Xenopus tropicalis: one gene and its partners. The main gene of each other region encodes a partner of the protein of the gene in region 2 in a complex. Links are inferred from orthologs where the notes say so. Each region holds a gene or a part of one and is shown on either strand. Other genes may lie near its edges.

Evidence for each region.
Region 1: the proteins of etfb (region 2) and acadm are in contact, whole or in part, in a crystal structure (PDB 2A1T), measured with the Homo sapiens proteins. The link is inferred for Xenopus tropicalis from reciprocal best matches to the Homo sapiens genes ETFB and ACADM. Residues at the interface, in NP_001976.1 of Homo sapiens: Glu73, Arg76, Thr77, Tyr192, Ala193, Thr194, Leu195, Pro196, Ile198, Met199, Lys202; in NP_000007.1 of Homo sapiens: Glu43, Gln44, Lys46, Glu47, Phe48, Thr51, Lys54, Phe55, Glu58, Glu59, Arg80, Glu83, Leu84, Gly85, Leu86, Leu98, Leu100, Ile108.
Region 3: the proteins of etfb (region 2) and etfa are in contact, whole or in part, in a crystal structure (PDB 2A1U), measured with the Homo sapiens proteins. The link is inferred for Xenopus tropicalis from reciprocal best matches to the Homo sapiens genes ETFB and ETFA. Residues at the interface, in NP_001976.1 of Homo sapiens: Ile14, Tyr16, Val18, Ile20, Val22, Val29, Thr31, Phe41, Leu102, Arg106, Lys124, Gln125, Ile127, Asp128, Asp129, Asp130, Cys131, Asn132, Gln133, Gln136, Met137, Ala139, Gly140, Phe141, Asp143, Trp144, Pro145, Gln146, Thr148, Phe149; in NP_000117.1 of Homo sapiens: Glu27, Leu88, Pro89, Glu90, Ser113, Ala114, Phe115, Lys117, Asn118, Pro121, Arg122, Ala124, Ala125, Lys126, Glu128, Val129, Ala130, Pro131, Ile132, Ser133, Arg146, Thr147, Ile148, Tyr149, Ala150, Gly151, Asn152, Ala153, Leu154, Cys155.

Annotation. Positions count from the first base shown.
Region 1 is NC_030680.2:81,042,864-81,052,990, forward strand, and holds the start of acadm (medium-chain specific acyl-CoA dehydrogenase, mitochondrial), read right to left. Parts: upstream 5,573-10,127; 5' UTR 5,483-5,572; coding exon 5,459-5,482; intron 4,149-5,458; coding exon 4,049-4,148; intron 2,569-4,048; coding exon 2,471-2,568; intron 2,379-2,470; coding exon 2,309-2,378; intron 2,125-2,308; coding exon 2,024-2,124; intron 1,684-2,023; coding exon 1,603-1,683; intron 624-1,602; coding exon 493-623; intron 403-492; coding exon 294-402; intron 1-293. UniProt on the Homo sapiens protein: Medium-chain specific acyl-CoA dehydrogenase is one of the acyl-CoA dehydrogenases that catalyze the first step of mitochondrial fatty acid beta-oxidation, an aerobic process breaking down fatty acids into acetyl-CoA and allowing the production of energy from fats.
Region 2 is NC_030683.2:122,440,596-122,450,771, forward strand, and holds the start of etfb (electron transfer flavoprotein subunit beta), read right to left. Parts: upstream 6,820-10,176; 5' UTR 6,813-6,819; coding exon 6,759-6,812; intron 1-6,758. UniProt on the Homo sapiens protein: Heterodimeric electron transfer flavoprotein that accepts electrons from several mitochondrial dehydrogenases, including acyl-CoA dehydrogenases, glutaryl-CoA and sarcosine dehydrogenase.
Region 3 is NC_030679.2:90,217,753-90,227,977, reverse strand, and holds the start of etfa (electron transfer flavoprotein subunit alpha, mitochondrial), read left to right. Parts: upstream 1-4,477; 5' UTR 4,478-4,483; coding exon 4,484-4,519; intron 4,520-4,794; coding exon 4,795-4,944; intron 4,945-7,434; coding exon 7,435-7,516; intron 7,517-10,225. UniProt on the Homo sapiens protein: Heterodimeric electron transfer flavoprotein that accepts electrons from several mitochondrial dehydrogenases, including acyl-CoA dehydrogenases, glutaryl-CoA and sarcosine dehydrogenase.

The DNA of each region.
Region 1 (10,127 bases), on a different chromosome or scaffold from region 2:
CTGTGCGTAGAAATGATTTTTAAAGTAAATGAGGCAGAAAATGTTTTATATTTTTAAGGAAATGCTTTTTATTTTACTTTATTTTATCATTTAAGGTTAAAGCTTTTGAAGGGTCCAAACCTCATCACCAAAATATCCCCAATTCCACATTTCTTAGCTATTATGTAAACTACAGGAAAGTAAATGTTAGCTGTCCAAAAATTTAGTGAGTTAAGAGTTTATACCCAAAACAAAATCATGCACAACAAGGAGTTACTTAATAGTAAAGCAAAGGATAAAAGAGAATTCATCACCTTTCTGCCAATCTGTATTCCAGGACTATCTGCTTCCACAATAAAACCTGTGAAAGCTTTACTAGCAGGAACTTTGGGGTCAGGATTAGTGCGTGCAAGAAGGAAATACCTGTAGAACAGGAAATAAAGCAATATTTAAGTAGAAATTATTCTGCTGCCCCTTTTTGCACCAATTGTAGATCTTGAATAACAATTATACCAGTTAGCTTTTCCACCATTTGTAATCCACATTTTCTGCCCATTTATGATATACTCATTGCCCTTCTTCTCAGCTCTTGTCTTCAGACCTGCCACATCAGAACCAGCTCCTGGCTCAGTCACACAGTAAGCCTGAATAAAATACAAGGCAGCAGTTAACCAGTGATTTAGAATTAATGGGGGTTACTGCAGTCTGATCACTAATGGACATCTACTTGGAGCTATATTCGAAGCTATAGGCAACATTCTAAAATAATGGATTTGTTCTTAAAAAAAACAAGAGAGTCATTTGATAAATGGATACTGTCATGATTTTTATGGTATACTTTTAATTTCTAATTACACAGTTTACATAGCAAATAATTCGCTCTACCATTTAAAATTTAATTATTGAACCAACAAATGTATTTTTTTTAGTTGTAATATTGGTGTGTAGGCAGCCATCTCATTGTGCCGGAGTCTAAGCTTTCAGAAGGAGCCAGCGCTACACATTTCTGCTTTCAGGTAACCTATTTTTTCTCCTACTCCCATGTCACTTAAGTGGGACTTGAGTTTCTTACTATTGAGTGCTATTCTGATTCTACTGGGAGCTGCTATCTTGCTACCTTCCCATTGTTCTGCTGATCGGCTGCTGGGAGAGGAGTGATATCACTCCAACTTGCAGCTCAGCAGTAAAGTGTGATCAGAGCACAAGTTACATGGCAGTTCCACCCTGGGACATATAGAATATGGCTAGCCCCATGTGAAATTTAAAATTTAAATATAAAAAAAAAAAACAGATTTCAATGCAGGATTCTGCTGGATTTTTAAGTGATCAAAAGTCCATTTTTATAATATGAATGTTAAGTAATTTGTTTGAAAATGTTGGACCAGCGGATATAATCTATTTTCACTATTTGGTATTAGTAACCCTTTATGGAGAGATTTTGTCTTTATTTACTATAAAGCTAATTGAAATCTTGCCTGCTGACTAAACATTTTCTTTTGTTTTGTTTATTTTCTGTAGGTTGTGTGTGATATATTTAGTCAATTTATAACACCTGTGTCTGATACCATTAGAGTCATAAACCGGCTGGCGGCCTAAGCTTTAAGTAGCAAAACAATGACTTACACACATTAACGGTTCTTCCATCATCCTTCCTAAATACTTCTTTTTCTGGGCTTCATTCCCTGCTATTATGACTGGCATTTGCTGGAAAACAAAGACTTTCTAGTTATGTATTTATCAAAGATATAAAGGCAAGAAAAAAAATATTACATTTCTTAACTAGGGATGCACCAAATCTACTATTTTGGGATTCGGCCAAACCCTGAATCCTTCATAATAGATATGGCCAAATACCGAACCTGAATCCTGGTAAAAAAAAAAAAAAAAAAAGGCTCAATCTTGGCCAAATCCTGGATTTCGTTGCTGTTGGTTGTTGCAAAATTGTATGAATTAACGTATATTTTCCTAATGCACTGAAAGTCTACCACATCTGTACATAAAACCAGGAAAAACAAGAAGAGCCATGTGAGCTCTAAGTACTTACTCCCAGAGAATTTGCTTCTATGGCTGTCTGGACTCCTGTGCACCCATAAGCTATTTCTTCTGTAATTAGACAGGTATCAAAGATCCCAAGGGCCAGGCCACCTGTAATATAATGAAAGGTCTCAGTATTTCAGTGATGCTCATCAGTTGCTTCACCTTATTCACTGGACTATTTCACCCACCAAACTTCTCAACCAGAAGTGCTCTCCTCAAGTAGTGGGGCTGGCACATTATAATGTGGCTTGGGCATATAAATTCCATTACTGACATTATTCTCTATGCTTACCACAATTTTCAGGGATGTGCCCATTCATGAGACCAAGCTCCCATGCCCTTTTGATGAGTGGTACAGGATACTAAAATGGAAGAAACAATGACATTCACTAGTTAATTGATTAACTGGAGCATTAGATAATTAGTAACATAGTGTAGACAAATCAATAATTACCTCCCCTGTCTTATCATAGTGTGCGGCTAATGGCATGATTTCTTCCCTTGCAAATTTCCGTGCAGTGGCTTTGAACTCTTTCTGCTGTTCACTGAGTTCTTTTACAAGGAAAAAGGGAAGATAAGACAAATTTACTACGGAGGCAATATTTTTTGGAGGCATATACATTACTGCAAATTTAAATATACTGTCACTTTAAGATGCATTGTAAAAGCTGGATATTATTGAAACCCTAGTATTAAATGAAGTATGCCAATATAATGATTACTTATTTGCAATTATATGGTGTGTCCCAGACAGTTATTACTAAGGGCTATGCAGAGAGAAACAAGAAAGCTGCTAACAGTGTGTCCTTGCTTACTAACATGGCTTAGCATGTGAATGAAGGGGCCTACGAACAAGGCCAGTATATAATAGGGAGGCCATGACTGCAACAGTAGGATACATTTAGAAAAACCTCTCTCAAAACTGTCTGTTTGGGGCACAATCACAGGGCTGCAATACAAGCCACTGCTAATAACAATAAAGCAGAACAGTGATTGTTTTCATCAGGGATAACAGTACCACTTCTGCCACATTTCAGCCAGTAAGTGACATGACTGGGATGGCCTACTTATCCGTTTCACAGACCCAAGATACAGCTTTGGTTCAGCTGGGTTTGTGAAAAAAAAAACACATTAAGAAGTGCAGAAACGGGAGATAAGCTGAAGGGAAAAAACTCACAACACACTTGCTTTCTGACTCATTTTCAAGAAAAATATAGAAACGCAGATCCACTTTTATCCCCAAGCTCAGTGTAACGCCATAGACAGGGATTGGGTTAGCCTGTGTGCAGATCCACTGAGCAGATTTCAGCCTGAAAATACCTAGTTTCATATTTTTTCAGGCCAAAGTCTGCTGTGTAGCTGCACTCAGGCTGACCCAGTGCTTCTCTGTGGAGCTACACAGCTGCAGATGAGAGTAGATCTGTTTTTCTCAGCTGTGTAATTACTAAAAACTTATCATGCATCAATATTTCCTATATACAAAGAACCCCAATTCTATGTACCCGGGCACGGATGTGGTTTTGGTTTGTTAATGATGCTAATGTAGGCTTTTAAACATTATCTTTTGGTGCACCAGCACCCCTCAATGATCTAACAATTACTGCTTGCCTATTCCTGGCACACTAGACAGCCTGCTTTCCTCCAGTGCTGTGATTTAAGCTTAGTCTCAGCTGCAAAGATCCAGTGGTCTAATATCCCTCTCCTTTCTTGTATCACAACCCTGCAGCCTGACTTATTTATTTATACACACTGAGAATATACTGTTTTATGCAACTATGAAAAGTAGAAAAAAAAATGAATTTATTTGCATTTATTTAATTACATATTGATGTAGTTTTCAATTGTAAATAAGTTTCCCCCCCAAAATGCTAACATTTTATTTAATTAAGAAGGTTTCCCTTTTCTTTTTGATAAAATACTTATCACGTGAAGATTTTTAATATGTTTAGAATTCAGGTTTAGATGGTTCCATTCCTACCACAAACTAACTCATTGTAAGATACATCAGATTTAGTTCTCCTAAAGTGCTTACCGAAGTTAAAGCCAAGAGATCCTTGGGAGGAGGCAGCGGCAGCAGCATTAGGAGCAGTAGAGTGAGTTCTCCACCCACACCTTGTTATGTGCTGAAGCACCTGGGGAGAATAACATTGCATGATTAAAGCTTACATCAAAGATAAAATGAAACCAGATACAAACCTCCTTTCTCCCTTGATATAAAAAGGTTAGTAGTTCAACCGCAGAGATGGGAACATTCCATACTCCCCATCCTGCAGGCATAACACACCACAGACCCCTAATCAGCTGAGCTGCTGGAGAATTGCCATCTTCTATTAATGCCCTACAGCCACAATAATCGTACACTGATAATATCACTACATTGGAGAGAAATGTGTGTGTAATTGTGACAGAACATGAGTATATTAAAATGATACACAGCACAGATACTCGATTTCACTGAGCTACAAGAACAGGTATAGATGTAGGTAGGCTGGGCTATTGAAGCTAGTCAGTCTGATTTTACTACAGAGAGATTCATTCCTTCATACTGTATTACTCTGGCCATTGTCAGTATAGGGTTTTCTCATAGAAGAAACTTCTTGCCCTAGTTGATGGTTTATCGTGTGCCAACTGCACCGCAGTATGTGGGATAACTACACTACTGTACACACTGTTTTTATGCAAAAGTTACATAGTTACATAGGGTTGAAAAAAGACCAGTGTCCTTCAAGTTCAACCCATCCAAGTAAACCCAGCACACCTAACCCACACCTACCAATCTATACACTCACATACATAAACTATAAATACAACCACTAGTACTAACTGTAGATATTAGTATCCCAATAGCCTTGGATATTCTGATTGTTCAAGAACTCATCCAGGCCCTTCTTAAAGGCATTTAGTAGCCACAGAATGACACTTGAGGTTCTGGAAATATCAGCCTCTGCGCACAAGACCCCTAAAGTCACATATAAAAAAAAACCTGGATGCAGCTAAGCCCCTGTAAATGTCAACAAATATCCAGTTCTACAGACGCTTTGAACTATAACTCTCAGCAATGCCCCGCTAAAGGTACAAGTGGGAGCTGCGGTGCCAGTAGGGCTGGCGAACCGACCAGGCAATACAAAGCTATCCGAGCAGGGCTGGACTCTGCCCCGACACCTCTCCGCCCTCACAGGGCCCCTTTGACCTTGAACGCTGAGCCAGTGTCAGACATACAGACAAGCTGTGAATGGACTCAATATATATGTATATAACTAGTCGTTCGGGTGTCGCTGGGAATCTCTGCAATGGGGTATAGCACAGAACAGCAGCGGCGCTACTATCTTAATATAAGGAAGCGATTAGTGAGTGCGCATTAACTCTTTGGCTCGGCTCCAGCGCATAAGCATAAACTGCAAGGTACAACTGGTGGTATTTACAAGTTATTTCTAACACTTACCCTCTGCACTTTCAAAGCCGACATGTTGCCCTCTGCTGATTCTTGCAAGTAGACGCAGCCCCTGTCGCTAGTTACGTACGTCACGTCACGATTTTCTCTCGATAGAAACGTAAGCAAGGATGTCCTTTCTGCCTTAGTCGCTGCTAGCGCTGAGCTCTGCTGCCCCCTGCTGGATCTGAGAGGCATCAAGGGAGACATAGAGGGCAGGAGTTTTATGGGGACTGGGTGACTACAAGGAAGCTACTCCTACCGTACTATATGGCACTAATATACTGAAGCATTGAGTGGCGTTACCTTGATTCTGAATCACGTTGCTTCATTTGTATATTGATTTTACATTGACCCCCTAAGTTTATAATATAAAGGTTTTGCCTCATATAAATGCAGTTTGTAGAGCTGCAAATACCACAGCCTAAGTTATAGCAGCTGCACTTAAACTGTATTTTTCACAGCTCAGGTAATGTGTGTCTGTATAACCCTAAGAATAAACAAAGTAACTGGAACATAGTAGCCACTAGAGGTCAGGCCTCTAAACTCACCATGAGGAAAAAGGTTTGCAGAGCAAAGAAGAAAGAGAAGTTTATTCAAATCCCCTGGTGCAACAGTACCCAGTCTGTGTATCCAGTAGATCTTCAATTTCAGAAGAACTGGGTGCCTATAACCACCCCTTGTAGGAAGGGGAACATGAGCAATAATCATGTTGCATAATCAGGGCAGTGAATGTTGGGCTTGTCCACTACCAAGAGCTCTCCTAATATGACACCTGTGATTGTTCATTCATTCACATGTTGGGCTAGCCTTGCCAACATATACTAAAGCACATGGCACCAGGTATACCACATGAGTACTTGTACATCAGTCTGTGTCTGATTTTAAATTTTGTCTCAGTATGGGGGTAGTTGAAAGTAGAACCCTGGACCACCCCACTGCATGTAAAACAGTCAGGACATGTATAAAACCTAGGTTTTGCCAGGGTGCCAAGCCAGAAACCATGCTTGGGTGGAGGAGGGAAATCTTTAACCATAAGAATATTACCCAGATTGTTGGCCCTCCGGTTTTCAACTATGGTTTGGTGATTTTGGTGAAGGGCAAGGTGAAAGATCAGTCTGAATAATCTCCCATCTGTCAACTTAAGCCTTACAGACGGCAGAACTTTTGGAAAAAGTATTACAAAAATCAGCGCTGGTTCCTTGCGTTTAGAGATAGGGTTCAAAGAGAGCAAATCTTGTTGTAATAAGTAGAAAACTCTGTCCATCTGGTTTGCAGTTTGTTGCGGGTGAGATCCTCTTTCTGAGCCGTCTCTAACAGCTGTTTGGGGGCTCTTGAAGGATCCGAGTTGTTTCTGATCACCCATAGAAACTGTGAATACAATACCTGGAGGTGGATTTGGGATGATGGGATTGGGCATAGAGAATGGTATTATGATCCGTTTTTCTGTAGCTTTACGGAAAAGTGTAGTATCTAACCTATTACCATTCTTAAAAATATATAAGTCAAAGTGTAGGGAGCTGTCACTGAACTCCATTTTGAATCTAACTGGTATCTGGAGGTCATTAAAGGATCAAACAAAGTCACCCTGCCAAAGTAAAAAAAGCAGTCATTGATGTAGTATATGCGAGTATATGTGAAAATTCTCATATTGCTACATATAGAGGTTAGCCTTGCTGTGCCTGCTGTGTGTAAGAAGAACTTTTCCTCAAACCAAAAATAATTATGGGAAAATGCTAGATTAGGCAAGGTGCACAAGAACTCTATAGGGGGTGTTGGTGTTTTGCATTAATTAGTGCCTGTTTGAAAGTGGCAATACCAATGTTGTGTGGGATGATAGCATATAAAAACTGATTACATCCAGGGAAACCAGCAAAGTGTTAGGAGGGACAGGTCATTAAGAAGATAAATCAAACATGTGCTATCTTGTAAAAAGGATTCCAGATTTGTTCCCCCCCCCCTGCCCTGAGGACCTTCAAGTCCTTTCCTCTTACACCTGGAGCACAGGGGACGCACACCTAGACCTCAGTATTCTGAATGTAACAAAACTTCAGGTGCGGCTGAGCGGTATGCCGTCCCTCAATTTGTGAAACCCAAGGCCCGGTCCTTTGTGGCATTGCCACAAATCCAGGTCTGACTTGCAGCCCCTGGGCCTTAAATTAAAAAGACCAGATACAAATAATAAAAGCAAATGGGGGAATTCCCAAAAGTGGAGATAGCTCTTTTTTTGTAGTAAAAGTGGTGATAAAACTGGTGTAAAAAACTTTCTTCATATTCACAAACAGATATCCACCTAAATTCCGACTCAACCGCCACTTTTCAGTTTTTGGTGAAAGAAAGACAGTTTACAGACACTTTTGTGAATTTGACTTTTAAATGACTTTTGAATGACATTTAAATGACATTTAATGACACTTTTTCTTAACATTTTCAAAATGGAGTAAAGTTCAGTGTAACTCTGTCAGAGTCCAAGCTCTTCTATTTTGCTTTGTTTCACACAGTCTTCATTTCTCACCTCTGGTAGGGGCCCCATTTGGGGTATCATTAACATATTAATGGGGATTAGCAGCCTATTGTTATTGTCATTGCAAACAAGTAAAACACTGATTAAATAAAAAATAGTATAGTCTTGTATATAAAAAGATTTTACCTTACATTTGCATTATTATGTTAGTTTTAGCTTAATGAATGAGGCAAAAATAGCTTTTTGAGTGGATCTATTGTATATATCTTTATTTAAATGATAAGTAAAGCCTCCCAGGCAAATTTTTAGTTTTAGCAGGAATGACCCCTCTTTAATCACCTCACTGACACCTTCCCCAACTTATCTGTGCCCCCATAGTATGTCCAGAACTACAGAGATGCTATAGTGGTGTCCCTTCTGTTCCTAGCGGCCATCTTGTTGATCAGCAAGCAGCATATTTACACTGTCACCCACACTGAGATATTGGGGTACTGTGAATTCAAGGTTGGACTAGGAAAAAAACCTGGTGGGCCCTGGTCTTATTGGGCCTCTTTTCACTGGGCATGTTGGTGGGTGAGCCGGATGGTATTGACTGGTAATCACTGGGGGGGGTAGAGATGTAGTGTGGTGGCGGAGAACTGCAGGGGGTGTGCCCTTGATTCAGCTCTTCCCATAAGCCCCCAAATACACCAGTCTGACACTGTGTGCACGATCCTAATTGAAATGCATGCTGGCATTTTGAGACCCCAAATGAAGCAAAGTTTTGTTGTTTTGTAGTTTGGAATAGTAAGACATTTACCCATTTTTGTACTTTCCAAAATATATAGTTTCCTGGGGTGAACCTACTGGATTTTTGACTGTAGAACCAGAAGTACAGTATTCTGATTTTTGTGCTGGTATTTTGAAATTTTGTTAGTACTGAGTTTGTGACACATACCTCCTATCTCCAAAACACATTTATTAACATATACATTAAAAAACATATGTAAAAAACATTTATTAACATATACATTTGGTATTGGCACATTAACCAAACATGCAGATTTCTAAATCAGTTGTATTTACAAATATAAAATAAAAAATTTTTTTGTGATATATATCCCTATATTATGCAAAATTGCAATTTCTTTATTTTTTGGTAAAAAAAATTAGAAAGCCCAGTTTGTGCAGAAAAACATTGATAGTTTTCCAAGGCAAACTAAAATTCCCCTACAGGATATGCCCCTCAAGTAAAATGACTGGCAAATAAAATGCAAAATCCTTATTCCAAGGTTCATGTAAATGTGGGTTTGATGGCACACCAACAGATTTACTAAGACAAATTCATAAAAAATGTTGGTAAAATATCATCAAAATCTGAAATCTGAAAACTGTCTGTTTAAAATACAAATTCACAGTGGAGATATAGGTTATACCTCCCCTTTTATTTTGTCTCAGTATCACCACCTTTGTGAATTCCCCCCAAAATGTTTATTCTTTTTTACTTAACATAAGTATACAACTTAAATGCATGTTGTAAGTCTGCACTGATTGCATTTACATTTAATTGCAGTCAGTGCAGCCCTTCTAGCTGGATTTTCACCCCCTTTGGGGCAAAGGGAACACAGACCAGGGGTAGGCAGGAGAGGTACCTGCCTGGTGCCCCCCCAGCATTGCACCCTAGGCAGGTGCCTCTTCTTCCTACTCTTAGTTCTAGCCCTGCTTCCAAACTAGTTTTTTCAGTTCCATTGTTTCAATTATTAATAATAATGACTTTTTAAAATAACTGTTTTCTTACCATTTTTTCTAAAATTGGAATATAAAGGACATGGAAAGAGAAATTCGCTGGGGGAGGAACAATTTGTCCGCAGCAGCCTGACTATACTCCTAACAACACTGCTCCCTAATTTTGGACTGCTTCCTAATGGCCCTGCTCTGTCCTCGCTACGTGTTACCCGGAGGTAGTGTGTAGTTTGTAGTTTAACTCCTTTCTCCATCAATTCACTGAGGCTAGATTTCAATGCTTCAGTTTTATTAAAAAAGGGAATGCAATGATACCCAACCTGTGGCTCGTGAGCTCAACAACCATTTGGATGTTAGACATCCAGTCACTCCAGCCCTTACAGAATACATATTTGGCTGATTAAATATATTAGAAACATTTTATTTTGCACAGGCTATTTATTTACCCAGTTTTATTTTTACTCTAAATTGTTCCTTTAAGCTGCCAGCCACATT
Region 2 (10,176 bases):
TTTTTCATAAATTCAGATTTTTATGGGGGTGCTGTAAAGGGAATATAAATGTCTCCGTCGGGAAAGGATTACGATGTAATTTGCTAAAGTTGCGTGGAGCCAGGGGAGGGAGTGTAAGCGAGGTACAGACCATGGCCCCCCACTAAACACAAAGTGATGATGAAGAAGAAGAAGAAGCAGAGGCTCCGGCTCAGCCACATGGTACAGCCAGTAATATCAGTTATAGCTCCGAATACAAATCTCCCAATAAAGAGACCCCACAGGCACAGCCGGGGCCCCGGGGGCTTACTGGGCCTTCGCAATGTTCTATCTACATTTATATAGCTGATTGAGGGAACTGCACTGAACTCCACTTTCTACGATGGATTTCTCTCTTGCAGGAATGATTTTCTTGCTGTGTGATCTCTGTTTGGAATATTTTTAAACAGCCACAATGAAGGCTTTAAACAAAAAATAAATTAGCATGCTATAAATATCCTTTACTTTCCCTTTACTTTTTCATTATCCTTTATTTACATCCTGCCAACGTGCTAGCAACAGCTTTATACAGATTGTTCTCATTCCCATCAGTCCCTGCCCCACTGAAGCTGCCCGTGCCATTCACATAATACAGGTATGGGACCCATTATCCAGAATGCTCGGGACCTGGGGTTTTCAAGATAAGGGGTCTTTCTGTAATTTGGATCGCCATACCTTAAGTCTACTAAAAGTTCTGCCCCCAATAAGGGGTAATTATATCTTAGTTGGGATCACGTACAGGTACTGTTTTATTATTACAGAGAAAAGGGAATCATTTAACCATTAAATAAACCCAATAGGGCTGTTCTGCCCCCAATAAGGGGTAATTATATCTTAGTTGGGATCAAGTACAGGTACTGTTTTATTATTACAGAGAAAAGGGAATCGTTTAACCATTAAATAAACCCAATAGGGCTGTTCTGCCCCCAATAAGGGGTAATTATATCTTAGTTGGAATCAAGTACCGGTAATGTTTTATTATTACAGAGAAAGGGAATTATTTAACCATGAAATAAACCCAATAGGGCTGTTCTGCCCCCAATAAGGGGTAATTATATCTTAGTTGGGATCAAGTACAGGTACTGTTTTATTATTACAGAGAAAAGGGAATCATTTAACCATGAAATAAACCCAATAGGACTGTTCTGCCCCCAATAAGGGGTAATTATATCTTAGTTGGGATCAAGTACAGGTACTGTTTTATTATTACAGAGAAAAGGGAATCATTTAACCATTAAATAAACCCAATAGGGCTGTTCTGCCCCAATAAGGGGTAATTATATCTTAGTTGGGATCAAGTACAGGTACTGTTTTATTATTACAGAGAAAAGGGAATCATTTAACCATTAAATAAACCCAATAGGGCTGTTCTGCCCCAATAAGGGGTAATTATATCTTAGTTGGGATCAAGTACAGGTGTGTATATATATATATATATATATATATATATATATATATATATATATATATATATATATATACACTAAAGTTACTGGAGAACTAAACTGCAACAAGAAGGCTACAAATGTTGTACATTATGTCTTGAGATTCTGTACCAGCCCAAGGCACCCCCAGTCCTTTAGCAGGGAAGATCTGTGCCCCCAAAGATGCCCCAGTAGCCCCCCATCTTCTTTTCTGCTGATTCCCTGCCCATACTCTGTGCTGCTGTCACTTACCTGAGCTTAGGGACCCACTCACATTACATGGCAGCAGAAAAACCAGTTCATTCTGCATCATAATTTAGCCCTGTAGCATCAGCTTCATGTTTCCACCGACTCCTAAGCTTTGCTTCTCAACAGCAGCCCAGAGCAAGTGCAGTGCCGCTGACACTAAAAAGATGGCCTAACAAGATCAGAATACTGCAAGCTTCTATTGAACACTGTTAAAGCCCTAGACTTTAGGGGGTTGAACCCCTCTGGCGATACAGTACGTTTTACAACAGAACCTACTTTTCTATAAAAGTTCAATAACATAGTAAGTTAGGTTGAAAAAAGACCTTTATCCATCAAGTTCAACCATAATGCCTATATATAACCTGCCTAACTGCTAGTTGATCTGGAAGAAGGCAAAAAACCCCATCTGCCAAGATGGCAATCGGACCAGTCCCTGGATCAACTTGAGCTATCTCCCATAACCCTGTATTATTTGAATAATAATAATTGCTCTATAGAGAGAAACTCATACAAATACTCTAATCAAACAGTGACCTCTACTGGCCACCTTTTTTAAAAATAATGTTAAGATAAAATGTGGCATTAAAGTTAAATTAACACAAAGATGGATTCTCTAGCAAGAAGTCTCTCTGCGAACTTAGCAGCTCCTTCCTCTGTTGTCTTCTTGGCTGGGTGCTGGAGTGACCACACAGCTTCCCTACAAAGCTAAATATATAATAAAAATACTTTATCTTCACCTTTTCAAATATACTGATATAGTTGATAAGAATAGGGGTGATGTGTCCTGTTTAATACAGTATGCAGGCATTAACTGTGCACTAGTGATGTGCGGGTCAGGCTCATACCCACAGGACTGGCGGGTTGGGGGTGACCTTAGCACAACATTTGCAGGTCGCGGGTGGGTTCGGGTTGAGCCCTTCTGCCTGCTCACCCGCAACCTTACACTGTTGGCTTTCGGCTCTCTGATTTATAGGTACCCCACCCCATTCATTTTGTGACATCACGGGTGGGTGGGTCGGCCGCAGCTCTATAAACAGAGGGTACAAGCCGGGTTGGATAGGGTTCAGGCTGGGAGCGGGTGGGTTAGGGTCGGTGTGAGTTGAGGGGACCGACCCATGGATGTTGGTCTAATGATGAGCCACTTACTTCATACAACACTAAACATGTTTTTTGGAATTGTGTTTCCCTTTTCAAAATACCGGCTCTGCTGCCAACCCCTAGTTGTAGTACTGAAGCCTGCCACCCAGTGCCCCACACAGCCTGCCACCCAGTGCCCCACACAGCCCAGCTTAGCCTACCCGATACCTACCCAGTGCCACACGCAGCCCGGCTTAGCCTGCCTGATACCTACCCAGTGCCACACGCAGCCCGGCTTAGCCTGCCTGATACCTACCCAGTGCCACACGCAGCCCGGCTTAGCCTGCCTGATACCTACCCAGTGCCACACGCAGCCCGGCTTAGCCTGCCTGATACCTACCCAGTGCCACACGCAGCCCGGCTTAGCCTGCCTGATACCTACCCAGTGCCACACCCAGCCCGGCTTAGCCTGCCTGATACCTACCCAGTGCCACAAACAGCCCAGTTTAGCCTGCCTGATACCTACCCAGTGCCACACCCAGCCCGGCTTAGCCTGCCTGATACCTACCCAGTGCCACAAACAGCCCAGTTAAGCCTGCCTGATACCTACCCAGTGCCACACCCAGCCCAGCTTAGCCTGCCTGATACCTACCCAGTGCCACACGCAGCCCGGCTTAGCCTGCCTGATACCTACCCAGTGCCACACGCAGCCCGGCTTAGCCTGCCTGACACCTACCCAGTGCCACACGCAGCCCGGCTTAGCCTGCCTGATACCTACCCAGTGCCACACGCAGCCCGGCTTAGCCTGCCTGATACCTACCCAGTGCCACACGCAGCCCGGCTTAGCCTGCCTGATACCTACCCAGTGCCACACGCAGCCCGGCTTAGCCTGCCTGATACCTACCCAGTGCCACACGCAGCCCGGCTTAGCCTGCCTGATACCTTCCCAGTGCCACACCCAGCCCGCCCCCCAGTGCCACACACTCCTTAATTGGCTTAGCCTGCCCGATACCAAACCAGTGTCATATACACTCAGTACAACTGTCTATGAAGATTTTCATTCATCCAGGTCATGGTATATCTAGTATAAATAAATTTGAAGCAACTGGACTTGTACAACTCTACTGCGCAGATAATTAGATCACCTGAAACACCTCCTGACATTGCAGATGATGCAGAAAGCTTACAGCCGCATTTACCCACACTCACTGCCAACATGAACAGACAGACTCACAATAAACCCTGGTATTGTAAGTGCCTGAGGGCTAAACAGGCTCACCGGGCCCAAGGCTTTAGCCAGGACCCACAGACTGCCAGCCTGGGCCTGACTGCCATATGAAGCAGCTATTCAGAGCCACTTACAGTTTGCAAATCAGAACCACTCAGCTATCTACTAGTGCCATATACTGTCTGTGCCACAGGCAGCAACTCAGTGCCATATACTGTCTGTGCCACAGGCGGCCACTCAGTGTCATATACTGTCTGTGCCACAGGCAGCCACTCGGTGCCATATACTGTCTGTGCCACAGGCGGCCACTCAGTGCCATATACTGTCTGTGCCACAGGCAGCCACTCGGTGCCATATACTGTCTGTGCCACAGGCAGCCACTCGGTGCCATATACTGTCTGTGCCACAGGCAGCCACTCGGTGCCATATACTGTCTGTGCCACAGGCAGCCACTCGGTGTCATATACTGTCTGTGCCACAGGCAGCCACTCGGTGTCATATACTGTCTGTGCCACAGGCAGCCACTCGGTGTCATATACTGTCTGTGCCACAGGCAGCCACTCAGTGTCATATACTGTCTGTGCCACAGGCAGCCACTCAGTGTCATATACTGTCTGTGCCACAGGCAGCCACTCAGTGTCATATACTGTCTGTGCCACAGGCAGCCACTCAGTGTCATATACTGTCTGTGCCACAGGCAGCCACTCAGTGTCATATACTGTCTGTGCCACAGGCAGCCACTCAGTGCCATATACTGTCTGTGCCACAGGCAGCCACTCAGTGCCATATACTGTCTGTGCCACAGGCAGCCACTCAGTGCCATATACTGTCTGTGCCACAGGCAGCCACTCAGTGTCATATACTGTCTGTGCCACAGGCAGCCACTCAGTGCCATATACTGTCTGTGCCACAGGCAGCCACTCAGTGCCATATACTGTCTGTGCCACAGGCAGCCACTCAGTGTCATATACTGTCTGTGCCACAGGCAGCCACTCAGTGTCATATACTGTCTGTGCCACAGGCAGCCACTCAGTGTCATATACTGTCTGTGCCACAGGCAGCCACTCAGTGTCATATACTGTCTGTGCCACAGGCAGCCACTCAGTGTCATATACTGTCTGTGCCACAGGCAGCCACTCAGTGTCATATACTGTCTGTGCCACAGGCAGCCACTCAGTGTCATATACTGTCTGTGCCACAGGCAGCCACTCAGTGTCATATACTGTCTGTGCCACAGGCAGCCACTCAGTGTCATATACTGTCTGTGCCACAGGCAGCCACTCAGTGTCATATACCGTCTGTGCCACAGGCAGCCACTCAGTGCCATATACCGTCTGTGCCACAGGCAGCCACTCAGTGTCATATACCGTCTGTGCCACAGGCAGCCACTCAGTGCCATATACCGTCTGTGCCACAGGCAGCCACTCAGTGCCATATACCGTCTGTGCCACAGGCAGCCACTCAGTGCCATATACCGTCTGTGCCACAGGCAGCCACTCAGTGTCATATACCGTCTGTGCCACAGGCAGCCACTCAGTGTCATATACCGTCTGTGCCACAGGCAGCCACTCAGTGCCATATACCGTCTGTGCCACAGGCAGCAACTCAGTGTCATATACTGTCTGTGCCACAGGCAGCCACTCAGTGTCATATACTGTCTGTGCCACAGGCAGCCACTCAGTGCCATATACTGTCTGTGCCACAGGCAGCCACTCAGTGTCATATACTGTCTGTGCCACAGGCAGCCACTCAGTGTCATATACTGTCTGTGCCACAGGCAGCCACTCAGTGTCATATACTGTCTGTGCCACAGGCAGCCACTCAGTGTCATATACTGTCTGTGCCACAGGCAGCCACTCAGTGTCATATACTGTCTGTGCCACAGGCAGCCACTCAGTGTCATATACTGTCTGTGCCACAGGCAGCCACTCAGTGTCATATACTGTCTGTGCCACAGGCAGCCACTCAGTGCCATATACTGTCTGTGCCACAGGCAGCAACTCAGTGTCATATACTGTCTGTGCCACAGGCAGCCACTCAGTGTCATATACTGTCTGTGCCACAGGCAGCCACTCAGTGTCATATACTGTCTGTGCCACAGGCAGCAACTCAGTGTCATATACTGTCTGTGCCACAGGCAGCCACTCAGTGTCATATACTGTCTGTGCCACAGGCAGCCACTCAGTGTCATATACTGTCTGTGCCACAGGCAGCCACTCAGTGTCATATACTGTCTGTGCCACAGGCAGCAACTCAGTGTCATATACTGTCTGTGCCACAGGCAGCCACTCAGTGTCATATACTGTCTGTGCCACAGGCAGCCACTCAGTGTCATATACTGTCTGTGCCACAGGCAGCAACTCAGTGTCATATACTGTCTGTGCCACAGGCAGCAACTCAGTGTCATATACTGTCTGTGCCACAGGCAGCCACTCAGTGCCATATACTGTCTGTGCCCCACACAATGGCAGTGCCACAGGCAGCCACTCAGTGCCACACAATCATTACCCAGGTATTGCCATATAAAGCCACAGACTGCCTGCAGCCCAGTAACCCACATTAATATATATTTAGTGCCACACAGGCAGCTACTCAATCCCACAGACAGAGACTCCTTGTTACACAATGGCAGTGTCAAAGGTAAGTACTTAGTGCCACACAATCTCCCAATTCCATGACACAGAGACACAATGGGCGTTACACAGTGACACCGGTTACACCCCCGACCCCAGGCCGCCAGGGCACCCCGGTAACGTTCTCACCTTCACGGCATAGTCTATGACCCTCTTGACACCAACTAAAGCTCGCAGCGCCATGTTTCAGAAGGACTCGGAGAGTGAGGCATGAAAACATCCAATCAAGACTCACCGACTCCGTCGTCAGCCAATCAGTGTGCACCAAGGCATACCCAATCGCAATCAAAATCCAACTAATTACCGGTATAAGTTGTATCCAATTGGCTAGTTCGCTTTCAGAGCGTAACACGTGTTTAAAACTCTTAGCCAATAAGGTGTGTGGGCGTACCTTCAAGGGCACAGGCGTAGGAATCGTCATTAGAGACGGATAACGTGGCGGCCATTTTTTATTTGGGCTTGCTTTTCCAAAGGTCTTTTAAGGACAAAATAGCGCTAAAGTTACGTTTTTTTTAACTAGTTGTCTTCTTGGTTCTGCCCAACGTTTACTGTTGGCCCCAGCTGTCGCGGGATTTTTGTTATGTGTTGAAACTGATACTTTGTCCCTGACCTGACCAATGACCCATTAAAATACATTTATAAGTAGATATTAGTTTATACCACAAACATAAAGTAACTTTTGGTGGGTCGAGTAACAAAAGTTGCAAAAATTTTTCTTGCCTTAGTAACCCATAGCAACCAATCATCCATTGCCTGAAAGCAAATGTCTGTTGTTGTGGGTTACTTGAGTGGGGACTATTATACCCCTCCATATTAATGGGCCTAATAATAAGAAAAGAAGAGCGATACAGAGATTAGTTTAGGGATTCCAAAGGATATCCCATACCTCCCAACTGTCCCGATTTTCGGGGGACAGTCTCTCTTTTGACAGCTCAACCCCTAGTCCCGGATTCTTACTGAAAAGTCCCTCATTTCCCTTTGATCTCCTGCACTGAAGCTAAAAAAGATACAAACTTAATTAAGGCTAATGCCAGACGAGGCGTAGGGCGGATATTTTTGGCAAGTTTGAAAGTCTCGCATTTTTATGCGTATTTACACTATATGTGCCTGCACCTGAGCGTATCTCATTCATTCGGGTGCAGGCACATGTAGGAGGCGTAGGGCGGAATTTTCGGCAAGCGTTTTTCCGCTTGCCAAAAATAACCGCCCTACGCCTTGTCTGACATTAGCCTAAAAGTAGCTTTTGGCAGAGAGGCCAGAAATCTTAACGAGCGTCACCTGCAGTTAGATACATTGTTTCTCACATTTAATTAAATAAATAGCTTTTGGCAGAGAGCCCAGAAATCTTAACGAGCGTCACCTGCAGTTAGGCTGATGCCACGCGTGGCATTTTTACACTGCGTATTTTCTAATTCTCTCGGCGGCTGAAAGGCTTAGGGCTGATATTTTCAGCAAGCGGAAAAACGCTTGGCGAAAATTCAGCCCTACGCCTGCTACTTGTGCCTGCACCCGAATGAATGAGATACGCTCGGGTGCAGGCACATGTAGCCGATATATGCATGAAAACGCGTGAGAATGTCTCACATTTTCATGCATATATCGGCTACATGTGCCTGCACCCGATCGTATTCCATTCATTCGGGTGCAGGCACAAGTAGCAGGCGTAGGGCTGAATTTTCGCCAAGCATTTTTCTGCTTGCCGAAAATATCAGCCCTACGCCATGTGTGGCATCAGCCTTAATTAAATAAGTAGCTTTTGGCAGGGAGCCCAGAAAGTTAACAAGCCACACCTGCACTGAGATACAACTGTAACTAATAAGCTAAACAGGTCTCTTGGGGGAATTGAGACTCGCAGCTTAAAGGGCAATTTCACCTTTTTCAGCATAACTGTAATAACACATAAAACAGGACCCCAAAACCCCCAGAAATGTGCTCAAACTTTAAATAACCTGCCAAATGTAGTCAAATGGGAGTGGTATTTAGGGGATGTGGTCGCAAAAACAGGCATGGTCAAAAAAATACACTGCACTGCACGCAGCATTCGTTTTTGTCCCTCTTTCTAGTTTCAAAATGTTGGGAGGTATGATATCTATTTATTGGCACCTTATATGTGGCAAGGGGTCATCTCTGCATTGCAGCAAAGGGGAAATTCACCTGTGAAACGTATTTGGTGATTCTAAATAGTTTTACTTATAGTTCTATGTAGCTGTGGATAGGTTTGAATCATTATCTCCATTGTGACGTGGGGTTGGTTGACATCTCTGCTGAAATGCATTATGACTGTGAGAGACATTGGAAGCAGACAGACGTCCCAATGAGCTCAGCCTGCTCTGGCTGCAGAAATAAAGCCGGTCAGTAAGGAGCCAGTATAAATCTCTCTTCCCTGATAACTGCAGAACACGACGTCCACAGGGGAGCCCCAAATTTTCACCAACTAAAGGCCAGGCTAATGCCATCTGTAAATTCACTCCAGGCAAAAGGCTACATCAATATGATGGGGCCCATATGTCCCTCTCTGGGTGTCAGGTATAAGGCTCTGCTCAGTTTAGCCCTAATGGAACTGGCTGCAAACCTACATGTACCTCAACTTCTCTTTGCCTTAACCTTCCATATGTTTTCTAATTACTATTATAGGACACCAACATATTCCACAGAGCTGCACAATAACTGTTCAATAAATATCCTTAATTGAAAGGTATTGGTTATATAGAATTGTGCTTCCCCTTTGCTGTGTTTATATGTGTATATATATATGTTACTTTGACAAAGGCTGATGTAACAGCCGAAACGTTAGTTCACCTTTTTGCATTAAAATTATTGTTTCTTCATAAGACCTGAGTGCTTTTTTTTATTTTTTCCTGTGCGCTTTCCTTTGAACTCTGCACCCAGGCATTTTTTGTTTTCTGTTCCGTGAGTGCCGGCTGTTCCTGTATTTGTTATATATATATAAAGTAAATATATTTATTTTTTGGCTTGGTACAGCAGTCTCCGCATTAATTCTGGGCTTCGTCCAGGGCTGGAGTTAGTTTAGAGCTGCCTTTGGCAATGCAGGAAACCAGGGGGCCCTTCCCTCCCTTCTCTAGATGTCAATTCTGGGCATTGCAGACATTATATATATATAATATATATGGTGCTCGAAAAGTTGGATTTTTTCATTAAATACATTTTTTGTTTTCCAACAAAGTCCCTGTGTGTGCGGCTCACTGTCTTGCTATATATATATACAGTATATAATTCACAAGAGTCATGAATATTCTGTATTTGATATCCTTATAAATGGCGCTTAGTGATTTCATCAGTTATAATCGGTGCTTAGTGGTGTAATTTCCGTCACATGACTCACTGGAACTTGTGGATTATAATAAATAATGTATGTCCTGCTGAAAAATATTTAGGTATTATGTCACCTCGGTGTTCCATGACCGGTATAAAAGCACTCTACCGTCGGCCTTGTGCTTTTATATGGTAATGGATCTCTTCTGTGATTTATAATATCCCTATACTTTACAATAGAGGGTACGTTATTCACTATATAATGTGAGGCAAA
Region 3 (10,225 bases), on a different chromosome or scaffold from region 2:
CCAAATATACTGGTCTGACTTTTCATGGAGCACTGGAAGTCAGGTTGCTTAATTAGAGAACAATGACTTGTGGCCCTTAGTGAAGTATCAGGCTACACAGGATTTATATCCAAGCAATCCCCCCTTACCCAATTCAGGGGCACGTGCACATAAAAATATTGCTGGGAAATTCACCCTTGGCACAGATCCTTAAGTGTGTACATAAAAAATGCAGCCCTGGTATTTATTCTTGGGTTGCTCTAGGTTAGAAAATACAGTGATTCATAGCAGGGCCGCCATCAGGGGGGCACAGGGGGGACAGTTGTCCCGGGCCCGGGCGTTTAAAGGGGGCCTGGCCGTGCTAGAGTTTTTCTTTTACCTCGGGCCCCCTTCACTCAACTCCGGGCCCTGTTACTTCCATTGCCGGCGTCCGCTGTTATGTCCCAAGCTCCCCGCTACATGTGCGCTTTTATAAAGTTGCGCCCTGTGCTCACTGACATAACACGCACGGGGCGCAACCCTATAAAAGCACACATGTAGCAGGGAGCTCGGGACGTAGTGGAAGATACAAATGAAGCTGGAGTTGACACAGGTGAGGAGCCGGAGGAAGCAGAAGGATGCTGGCGGCGGCGGCAGTAGAGGACTGGAGGATACTTGGGGGGGCTCTGGGGAAGGTGGAGGATGCTTGGGGGGACCCTGGGGGAAGGTGGAGGATGCTTGGGGGGGCCATGGGGGAAGGTGGAGGATGCTTGGGGGGACCCTGGGGGAAGGTGGAGGATGCTTGGGGGGACCCTGGAGGAAGGTGGAGGATGCTTGGGTGGGCCCTGGGGGAAGGTGGAGGATGCTTGGGTGGGCCCTGGGGAAAGGTAGAGGATGCTTGGGGGGGCCCTGGGGGAAGGTGGAGGATGCATGGGGGGGCCCTGGGGGAAGGTGGAGGATGCTTGGGGGGGAGCTTGGAAGAAGCAGCAGGATGTTGGGTGGGGGGAGCTGAAGGATGCTTAGGGGGCCCTGGAAGAAGCAGGAGGATTCTGGGGGGGGGGAGCGTCAAGAAGCAGCAGGGAGCGGGCCATTGTATGGGAACACTGGGGGAGGACCACAATGTTTTAGGGGGCCCTGGGCTGGCTAGCAATGTTTTAGTGGGTCCCTGCCCTGGCACTAATGCAAAATGTAACCCTTGGCCACAAATGTTTTAGGGGGGCCCTGGCTACCAATGTTTTAGGGGGCCCTCGCTACCAGTGCTTGTGTATCCCTTGTATTGATGGGAGGGCCAGTGGGAGGGTGGGGCCCAGAAAATTTTGTTGTGAGGGGCCCCGTGATTTCTGATGGCGGCCCTGATTCATAGGGAGGTATTCAATATTGCTTAAACTGTTTAAGATTCAAAGAACTTGTGGCCCCATTGTTTAATCTCTTATGTGCCATGCCTTGCAGTAACTTATTAAACTTTGCCATAAAATAAATCAAAATGCCTATTATTTTATACTACATTATTAATTTTTCTATTTATGAATTCTTGATTTGTTTTCGAAATCAAACCTTATTTGTGCTGCACTGAGTATATCATTAACATTATTATATCTACATTATTTTTCCAACCCATGGTGATAAAAAAATGATTTTAAAGAAAGTGCAGCATTACTTATTTGCATAAAATACAAAAATAAATACTGGGTTATCTGGAATAATCCATAGTTTTGATTTCCTGACTGAGATTTGTAGGGTGTGTACAGATACTGATTGTTAGATATCTGACGCTATTGGTAACAAGATGAGCTTCCATCTGTTCACCTCATAATGGATTTAATCCATGACCCCATCTGCACTCAGAGTTCTCATATTCTAAAGAAAAGATTATATTCTCACCCCAAACTGCTGCTAGCTACACATATTAGGTTGCCTTTTGGTTGGACACTTTTTCACAGATACAATGTGCATCTAGTGTTTTATTATTCTTTTACTTGTTCAACAGGGTGGTGGGGGTTATCGTGCCTTTGCACCCCAATCACAATGAACATATATCTGTAGCTGCACTGTACATTTCCACAATTCCTACAGAGTGTCTGACTTATTCTGTTGTAGGAACTTTCAAGGTATATGTTGATTGTATGACCACTCTCTATATGTTAGTTGAGAGTATAAATGGGGTGCATGAAGAGACATCTGCTACTTGCTAAGAGATATTATTTTCTCCTGTTAAGAAAGAAAGGTCATTTTAAGGAACTGCAAATAAGACTACTAGCTGTATCTTTATCATTAGCCATTTGTATTTCATTTAATAACCAACATAGTGGACGCATGCCTGATTTCCCAAGATCAGATTTTGCTACATACCCTGCATGACTACTTTTGCACCTAAAGAAGTATACATAATTTGGCTACCATTTATTATAACATTTCTTTTACTACTCCACCTAACATCTAGATTATATTGTTATTCTGTACCCCCTCCCCATTACCCTTTTCTACTGTGCATAACCATTATGGATAACCAATTTTTAATTATTCAGTTACTTGCACCTTAGATTTCTCAAAAGATGTGTAAAGAGCTCGACTACACTGTTGGTGAGTAATATTCCACATGCACCAATAAGTAATTGTTTGACTGAATTTCCAATCTAAACATCCATTAGAAGTTGGCCCTTACCTACAAGTGATGGTTATTTTAACATACCTGTTACTTGTGAGATCGTATCTAGTAGAACAATGTCAGCATAAACCTTCCTGGTTATTTCATCCTTGTTAAAAGCACACTGCTTTGGGGGAATAGTGGGCAGGAAACAGTATGACATTGCTGGATAACACTGACAATTGCACATTCTGAAGGGGTTAATCATGTTTTCTAGGTGTGTATAAATTTGGTGTGTGTTGTTAACATAATATCAGAAAGCACGGTAGCATGTGAGCAAGCTATTATAAGTGGCATCCACTGTATTTATAACCTGCATATTGTCCTGTATTTTCTTTCTCAAATAAATTCAATACATGCATTCTAAATCTGAGTGGTTTTGTGTCCAATAAAGGCATCACTAATAAACAGGTGTAGTATTTGTTGTTTTCAATATAGCATGTTAAGAGTGCCTCTTTGATTTGATATATCCTCTAATAAACCACTTGTATTTGCACTTCAAAACGTTTCAGTGTTACCCTAGATCAGTAATCCCCAACCAGTGTTGCTCACCACCCCCTTTAATGTTGCTCCCAGTGGCCTCAAATAAGGTGCCAATTTTTATATTTTTGGCTTGGGGACCAGGTTTGGAAGCACAAAGACACTGTTTTATTACAAGCAGAGCCTCCAGCAGGCTAGCAGCCCACATGAAGCTACCAAATAGCCAATCACAGTTTTTATTTGGCATCCCCAAAAAACATGTTTTGTGCTTGTGTGCAGGGCCGGAATTAGGGGTAGGTAAAAGAGGCACCTGCCTAGGGAGGGCGTTAGGCAGGTACCTCTTCTGGCTACCCCTAGTCCAGCATCGCTTACCCCTGGCTTTCCTTTTCACCGTGCTACCCTCTCTGTCCACAACATCACGGCGGACACGTGCATGTGCATATGCACATGGGTGGGGATGGAGGGGAGCAAGGTGGCTGACTGGGTTGCCTAGGCACCCGACCAGCTTGGCTCACCAATACGTTTTACATTTGAGTGTTCCTCAAGAGTAAAAAAAAGTTCCCTGGCCTAAATACAGGTATGGGATCCCTTATCCGAAAACCTGTTATCCAGAAAGTCCCGAATTACGGAAAGCCCGTCTCCCATATACTCCATTATAAGTAAGTAATTCTAATTTTTAAAAACGATTTCCTTTTTTTTTTAAATAATAAAACAGTACCTTGTACTTGATCCCAACGAAGATGTAATTAATCCTTATTGGAGGCAAATCAAGCCTATTGGGTTTATTCAATATTTAAATGATTTTTAACAGACTTAAGTTATTGAGGCCTAAATTACAGAAGTAGCCCTTATCCGGAAAATCCCAAGGCCCGAGCATTCGGCATAACAGGTCCCATACCTGTACTAAGGAGTCAGCAGTATATTAAACTTGCAATATGTGATGGAATTCTCAACTCCAATCCTGCACTCGGTGCATCCATAAGGTAAAATCCCTGCTATTACTTAACAGACCTGTGTTAATAAAAGGGTATAAGAGACAATGATAGGAGCACTAGGAATTACACGCTCCGTCAAAAGACATATTTAAAGTAAGCCATGTTTTTCAGCTGACTACTACACTAATATCGTCAGAACCAGCAGTGCAGAAAATATCAGTGAAACAGACAGCTAATGCTTTCAGCGACAATTACAAATATGTTATGACTCTATACTGGAAAGCTTAGAACGTTCCCCTACTTAGAACTGTAATATGTAAGTTGGAAATACTTCCAGCCTGCGCCTTTATCTCGCTCACAAGGTAACTAAGTATTTGACGTCATTATTCCGCGCCGCCTGCTGCCTGAGTCGCTTGCTGAAGGTGTCAGAGGCCGGGTCACCTTTGTGTCTGTCCAAGAGTTCAGCATGTACCGAGCACTGAGTACCGGGAGGCAGAAGGGGGTGAGTTGTTTTCGGTTTCCTCTAGCTGAAGTAGCAGGGTGTGTTGGCTTGCCGCAGTTACGGGGTGGTGATAGGAGGGGGGAGTAAATGACATAACAATAATTGCTATAGATATGGATGCATTATATAATATATTTACACTCACTGTCACGATAAAAGTTCTTTACTCATACGTGAGCACTCCGTAATAAGTGTAGTAGAGTCCTAACATGATGCGGTAGGGCACTTCTCTTTAGCAGCACAATAAAGCTGTACTCTTCTACTTTTCCCTGCAGACTCCATCTCTGCGCAGGTTCCTTAGTGCCCTGGTTATTGCAGAGCATGACACCCAACAGGTGACACCGGTCACTCTCAGCGCCATAACTGCAGCCAAGCGACTTGGGGCAGATGTATCCTGTTTGGTGGCAGGGACCAACTGCAGTAAGGTAAGTTCAGTCATTTGTTTATTCTCAGCCACTGCTGGGATGTCACATGTACAAGGGAAATACCAGATAGAATCTTAATTGCCCATTCTGCTATGCTTTCTTTTCTACTATACAGCCTCTCTACTATGCTTCACCTTTATGGCTCTCTCTGCTTTATCTTCCCTCTGGCTATGGATCTTCCTACTTTCTCTCACCTTTCCATTAGTGTGTTAGTGTCCTCTGTCTCACCTCTGTGTTAGTGTGCTTGTGCCCAGTGTCTCCCCTCTCCAGCAGTGTGCTTGTGCCCAGTGTCTCTTCTCTCCAGTAGTGTGCTTGTGCCCAGTGTCTCCCCTCTCCAGCAGTGTGCTTGTGCCCAGTGTCTCTTCTCTCCAGCAGTGTGCTTGTGCCCAGTGTCTCGCCTCTCCAGTAGTGTGCTTGTGCCCTGTGTCTCCCCTCTCCAGTAGTGTGCTTGTGCCCTGTGTCTCCCCTCTCCAGTAGTGTGCTTGTGCCCTGTGTCTCGCCTCTCCAGGAGTGTGCTTGTGCCCTGTGTCTCTCCTCTCCAGTAGTGTGCTTGTGCCCAGTGTCTCTCCTCTCCAGTAGTGTGCTTGTGCCCTGTGTCTCGCCTCTCCAGGAGTGTGCTTGTGCCCTGTGTCTCCCCTCTCCAGTAGTGTGCTTGTGCCCTGTGTCTCGCCTCTCCAGGAGTGTGCTTGTGCCCTGTGTCTCTCCTCTCCAGTAGTGTGCTTGTGCCCTGTGTCTCGCCTCTCCAGTAGTGTGCTTGTGCCTTGTGTCCCTCCTCTCCAGTAGTGTGCTTGTGCCCTGTGTCTCTCCTCTCCAGTAGTGTGCTTGTGCCCAGTGTCTCGCCTCTCCAGGAGTGTGCTTGTGCCCTGTGTCTCTCCAGTAGTGTGCTTGTGCCCAGTGTCTCTCCTCTCCAGTAGTGTGCTTGTGCCCAGTGTCTCGCCTCTCCAGGAGTGTGCTTGTGCCCAGTGTCTCTCCTCTCCAGTAGTGTGCTTGTGCCCTGTGTCTCTCCTCTCCAGTAGTGTGCTTTTGCCCTGTGTCTCTCCTCTCCAGTAGTGTGCTTGTGCCCTGTGTCTCGCCTCTCCAGGAGTGTGCTTGTGCCCTGTGTCTCTCCTCTCCAGTAGTGTGCTTGTGCCCAGTGTCTCGCCTCTCCAGGAGTGTGCTTGTGCCCTGTGACTCTCCTCTCCAGTAGTGTGCTTGTGCCCTGTGTCTCTCCTCTCCAGTAGTGTGCTTGTGCCCTGTGTCTCTCCTCTCCAGTAGTGTGCTTGTGCCCTGTGTCTCTCCTCTCCAGTAGTGTGCTTGTACCCTGTGTCTCTCCTCTCCAGTAATGTGCTTGTGCCCTTCGTCTCTCCTCTCCAGTAGTGTGCTTGTGCCCTGTGTCTCTCCTCTCCAGCAGTGTGCTTGTGCCCTGCGTCTCGCCTCTCCAATAGTGTGCTTGTGCCCTGCGTCTCGCCTCTCCAATAGTTTGCTTGTGTCCTGTGTCTCACTTTTCAATAGTGTGCTTACGTCTTTCCTCTTTATTAGTGAGCTTACATCATGTGTCTTAATTTTCGCCACCCTGGGGCATCCCTGCTTTGCTGCCCTTTAGCCCCAATGGGGGTCTCTTTGCTGTTTCTCCCCCTTTCAATGAATAGGTTTAACTACTTTATAGCCTTTCTATCTTGAGGGCCTCCCTGCTCTCTCTCCCCACTCAGCAAAGAATGATGTGTTTATGTGTTGTCTCCCAACACTAGTGGGTCTCCTTGTGTTTTCTGTCCTTATATGGCGGGTTCGTCCTGCTGTTTTTCTGCTCTCTGATTCCTGAAGCCATTCCCTGGTTTGTCATGTTTCTGTTGGGCCCAACGTCTCCACCAGGATTTTTTTCCAGTTGTGTTTCCCCTCTCTGCTTGTTGTTCACCTTACTGTGTTTCCCCCTTTCTACTAGAGAATCTCCCAGTGATATTACACCTCCTTGTTATGGATTTCTCTCTTCCTTGTTTTTTATTTACATTTAGGGGTTTCTTTGCTCTAGGATCCCTCTTTAATCTCTTTTGTGAAAGCTAGGAAGTTTTGATGTTTTCATTTTTCTACATTGGCTATGTCCATCCTGCTCCAAAAAATGCAAGCCAGATTGGATGCAAGGATGTAAATGTAGCTAATCATTCTCCAGTGATTGTGATTATTAGTAGACCTAAGTTGTTTGATCATTCTATCTTGTTACTTTACACATAATCATAATGTCAAGGCATGTATTTAATTTGATGTCACCACCTTGATGTTGCTACATCTAATGTTGGCTAGGATGTGTTAATTCAAGTTGTCTAAAATAGCTTGCGATTATGCTTTTGGGCAGACACATGAACTGTTTCTTGAAAATTCTACTTACTTTATTTTTGAGCAGTAGTCACGTCTCGCATAAGCTTAATTAATATTGCAAATAAAGGAACAATTTGTAGACATGGGTTCTAGATTTTTGTCTGTACTTAGATCATGTCCTGATTATGTTTATGGTCTCAGGTAGCAGAGGAGCTGGCAAAGGTACAGGGAGTGTCAAAACTGTTCGTAGCACAGCATGAATCATACAAGGGATTTTTACCAGGTAAGGGTCCCAGGGATTTTTACCAGGTAAGGGTCCCAGGGATTTTTACTGACTGTGACTGTCAACTTTTTTTTTTCCTGTATGTGTGGCCAAACTCTTGACTCTCTACAATTACATTTATTTTACCATCTATTTTCCTTTTCCTAATGAAAAATTAGCTAGTTACTAATTATAAATACCTTTTGTTTTCTTTAACCATTCCTAACAAACTTTCCTTCACCATTCCTAACTAACTCAGTATGCTGCCTGTACTCAAAGAAAAACAAATAATTGGAACAAATGGAGGAACAGTTAAAGGTTACAAATGATGGTAGAATATTTAACTTTGCAAAACAACAGTCCCTTAGCGCAGTGGGACAGCGATTGCCATGGTGTGGTTAGATCCATTGCTAAAAATCAATACCTTTTTGTGTAGAGAGCCATGTAATCTGTTGCCAATCAGTAAATACAAACTTCTAATATTTGGTTGCTTTGTTGTATTATTCATGCTCAACATTGGGGTTTAGCAGTGTTGATTAAGCTCAGTCTATCTTAACCGGATTAAGTTTGTTGGAGAGCTGTGGGTTGGGCCATAAACTATGCTCATTCTCAATGATTTAATTTATTATTATTCTTTAAACACAGCACTCTACAGAGAATGTTCATAATTTAAGCCCTAGTGGAGCTTACAAACTAAGGTTTCAGGCAAATTCAAAAACTGGACTAGGGTCCTTATGTTAAGAGCTAATTAACCCTTTTATGTTTTTGAAGTGCTAATGGAAAACACAGTACATACAGAAAATCCTCAACACAAGGGAAACATACAAGCACCTTGCAGATTGTCTTTTAGGTTGAAACTTAAAACTTTGTACCCCTTTCTTGGCAGTACAGGTATAGACCCATTATCCAGAATGCTCGGGACCAAGGGTATTCTGGATAAGGGGTCTTTCTGTAACTTGGATCTCCATACCTTAAGTCTACTAAAAAATCAATAAAACATTAATTAAACCCAACAGGATTGTTTTGTATCCAATAAGGATTATTTATATCTTAGTCGGGATCAATTACAAGGTACTGTTTTATTACTACAGAGAAAACAAATCATTTTAAAATTCTGAATCATGTGATTAAAATGGAGTCTATGGGAGACGGGTTTTCTGTAATTCAGAGCTTTCTGGATAAGGAATCCCATACCTGTATTGCCTAAATCCAGCTGCTTTCAGGCAAAATACATCGCAGTAGGTAGAGGAAGGGACCAGAAGTGGCTAAACTTTAACTCTCAACACACAAACAATAAAGGAAGCTAGTAGTACTTGAATTATTTAAATGATTTAATAGTGGAAAGCAGCAAATACTTTTCAATACATTCAATATTTTGGGTAAACTGGCATACACCCTGAGTTCTCTTTGGGCTTGCCCATATACATTGCAGTTATTGTCTCCAAGTATCTCATGCTGCGTAAGGCATTACACACACAGTCCCTGTCCACTGTAGTCCCTACACATGGGGAGTGCTCTCTTCAGTTTTACTTCAATCTCACCACACCACTATCTCAACAGTGTGCTACTATAGGATTTGCTATCCACTCTCCCCTTGTTCACAGGGTCCTATTCCTGACTTCACTAAGGGATTTCACTTCCCTAAGGGCACTAAGCTTCATCCTGGGGCCTTTGCTCCAGGAACCTACATACATCACCAGCACCAGATGGAGTTTAAAGAGCAAGAGCCATGTTTTTCCTTCATCCTTATGAAAATATGGGCAGAAACAATTTGCACTACCCCATGACCTTTAGGTACACAAACCCTTCCCTAGGGCTTAAAGGTCCCCATACACGGGCCGACTATAGCTGCCGATATCGGTCCCTTGGACCGATTAGGCAGCTAATCGGTCCGTGTATGGGCAGAACAGAGCGGCCTAGCCAACCGATATCTGGCCTGAAATTGGCCAGATCTCGATCGGCCAGGTTAGAAAATCCAGTCGGATCGGGGACCGAATCGGCTCGTTGATGCGGTCCCCGAACTGACCGCCCCATAACCACAAATGTAATCCGATCGTTTGGCCCTAGGGCCAAACTATCGGATTATTTTTTTTTAAGTTACTTGCTACCCGATATCGCCCACCCGTAGGTGGGGATATCGGGTGAAGATCCACTCGCTTGGCCACATCGCCAAGCGAGCGGATCTTATAGTGTATGAGCACCTTAAGTCAGAGTCAGTCAGAGTTAATGGGACTTCCCGAGTTAGTAGGGGACTTGTGTAACCTACAACTGAATCACAAGTGTGGGTTATGCTGCCTGTCATACATTTCTATAGTATATACTAAAAGAGCTTTATTTGTGCATAACATTTTATTGATGTGTATAGATTTTGCATATTTTTTCACAGGAGCCCACTGTCAATTTTTTTCTATTTCCCCAAAATAAAATTTGCAATGTAAAATCCATTTATAAGTGAAGAGGTTGCATGATAAAAAAATTGGCCCTTTGGTTTTTCAATTTTTGAACTCCAGACTCAAATTCTATTCATACAAAGTATAAATTCATATAAAGTAGCCTTTAAGATAACTTAGAATGTCTTGTCTGGTTGCTTTGGTAGTCGCCTTCAGCATACATGCAATGTTCATGCGCAAGCATAGGTTTGCAGAATTAGCATGCATAATTGGTCTAGCTTGTCAGGCAGAGGCGGCCTTTTTTATCATTTTGTGTGTCTAGATTTCTGCCCTTTACTGG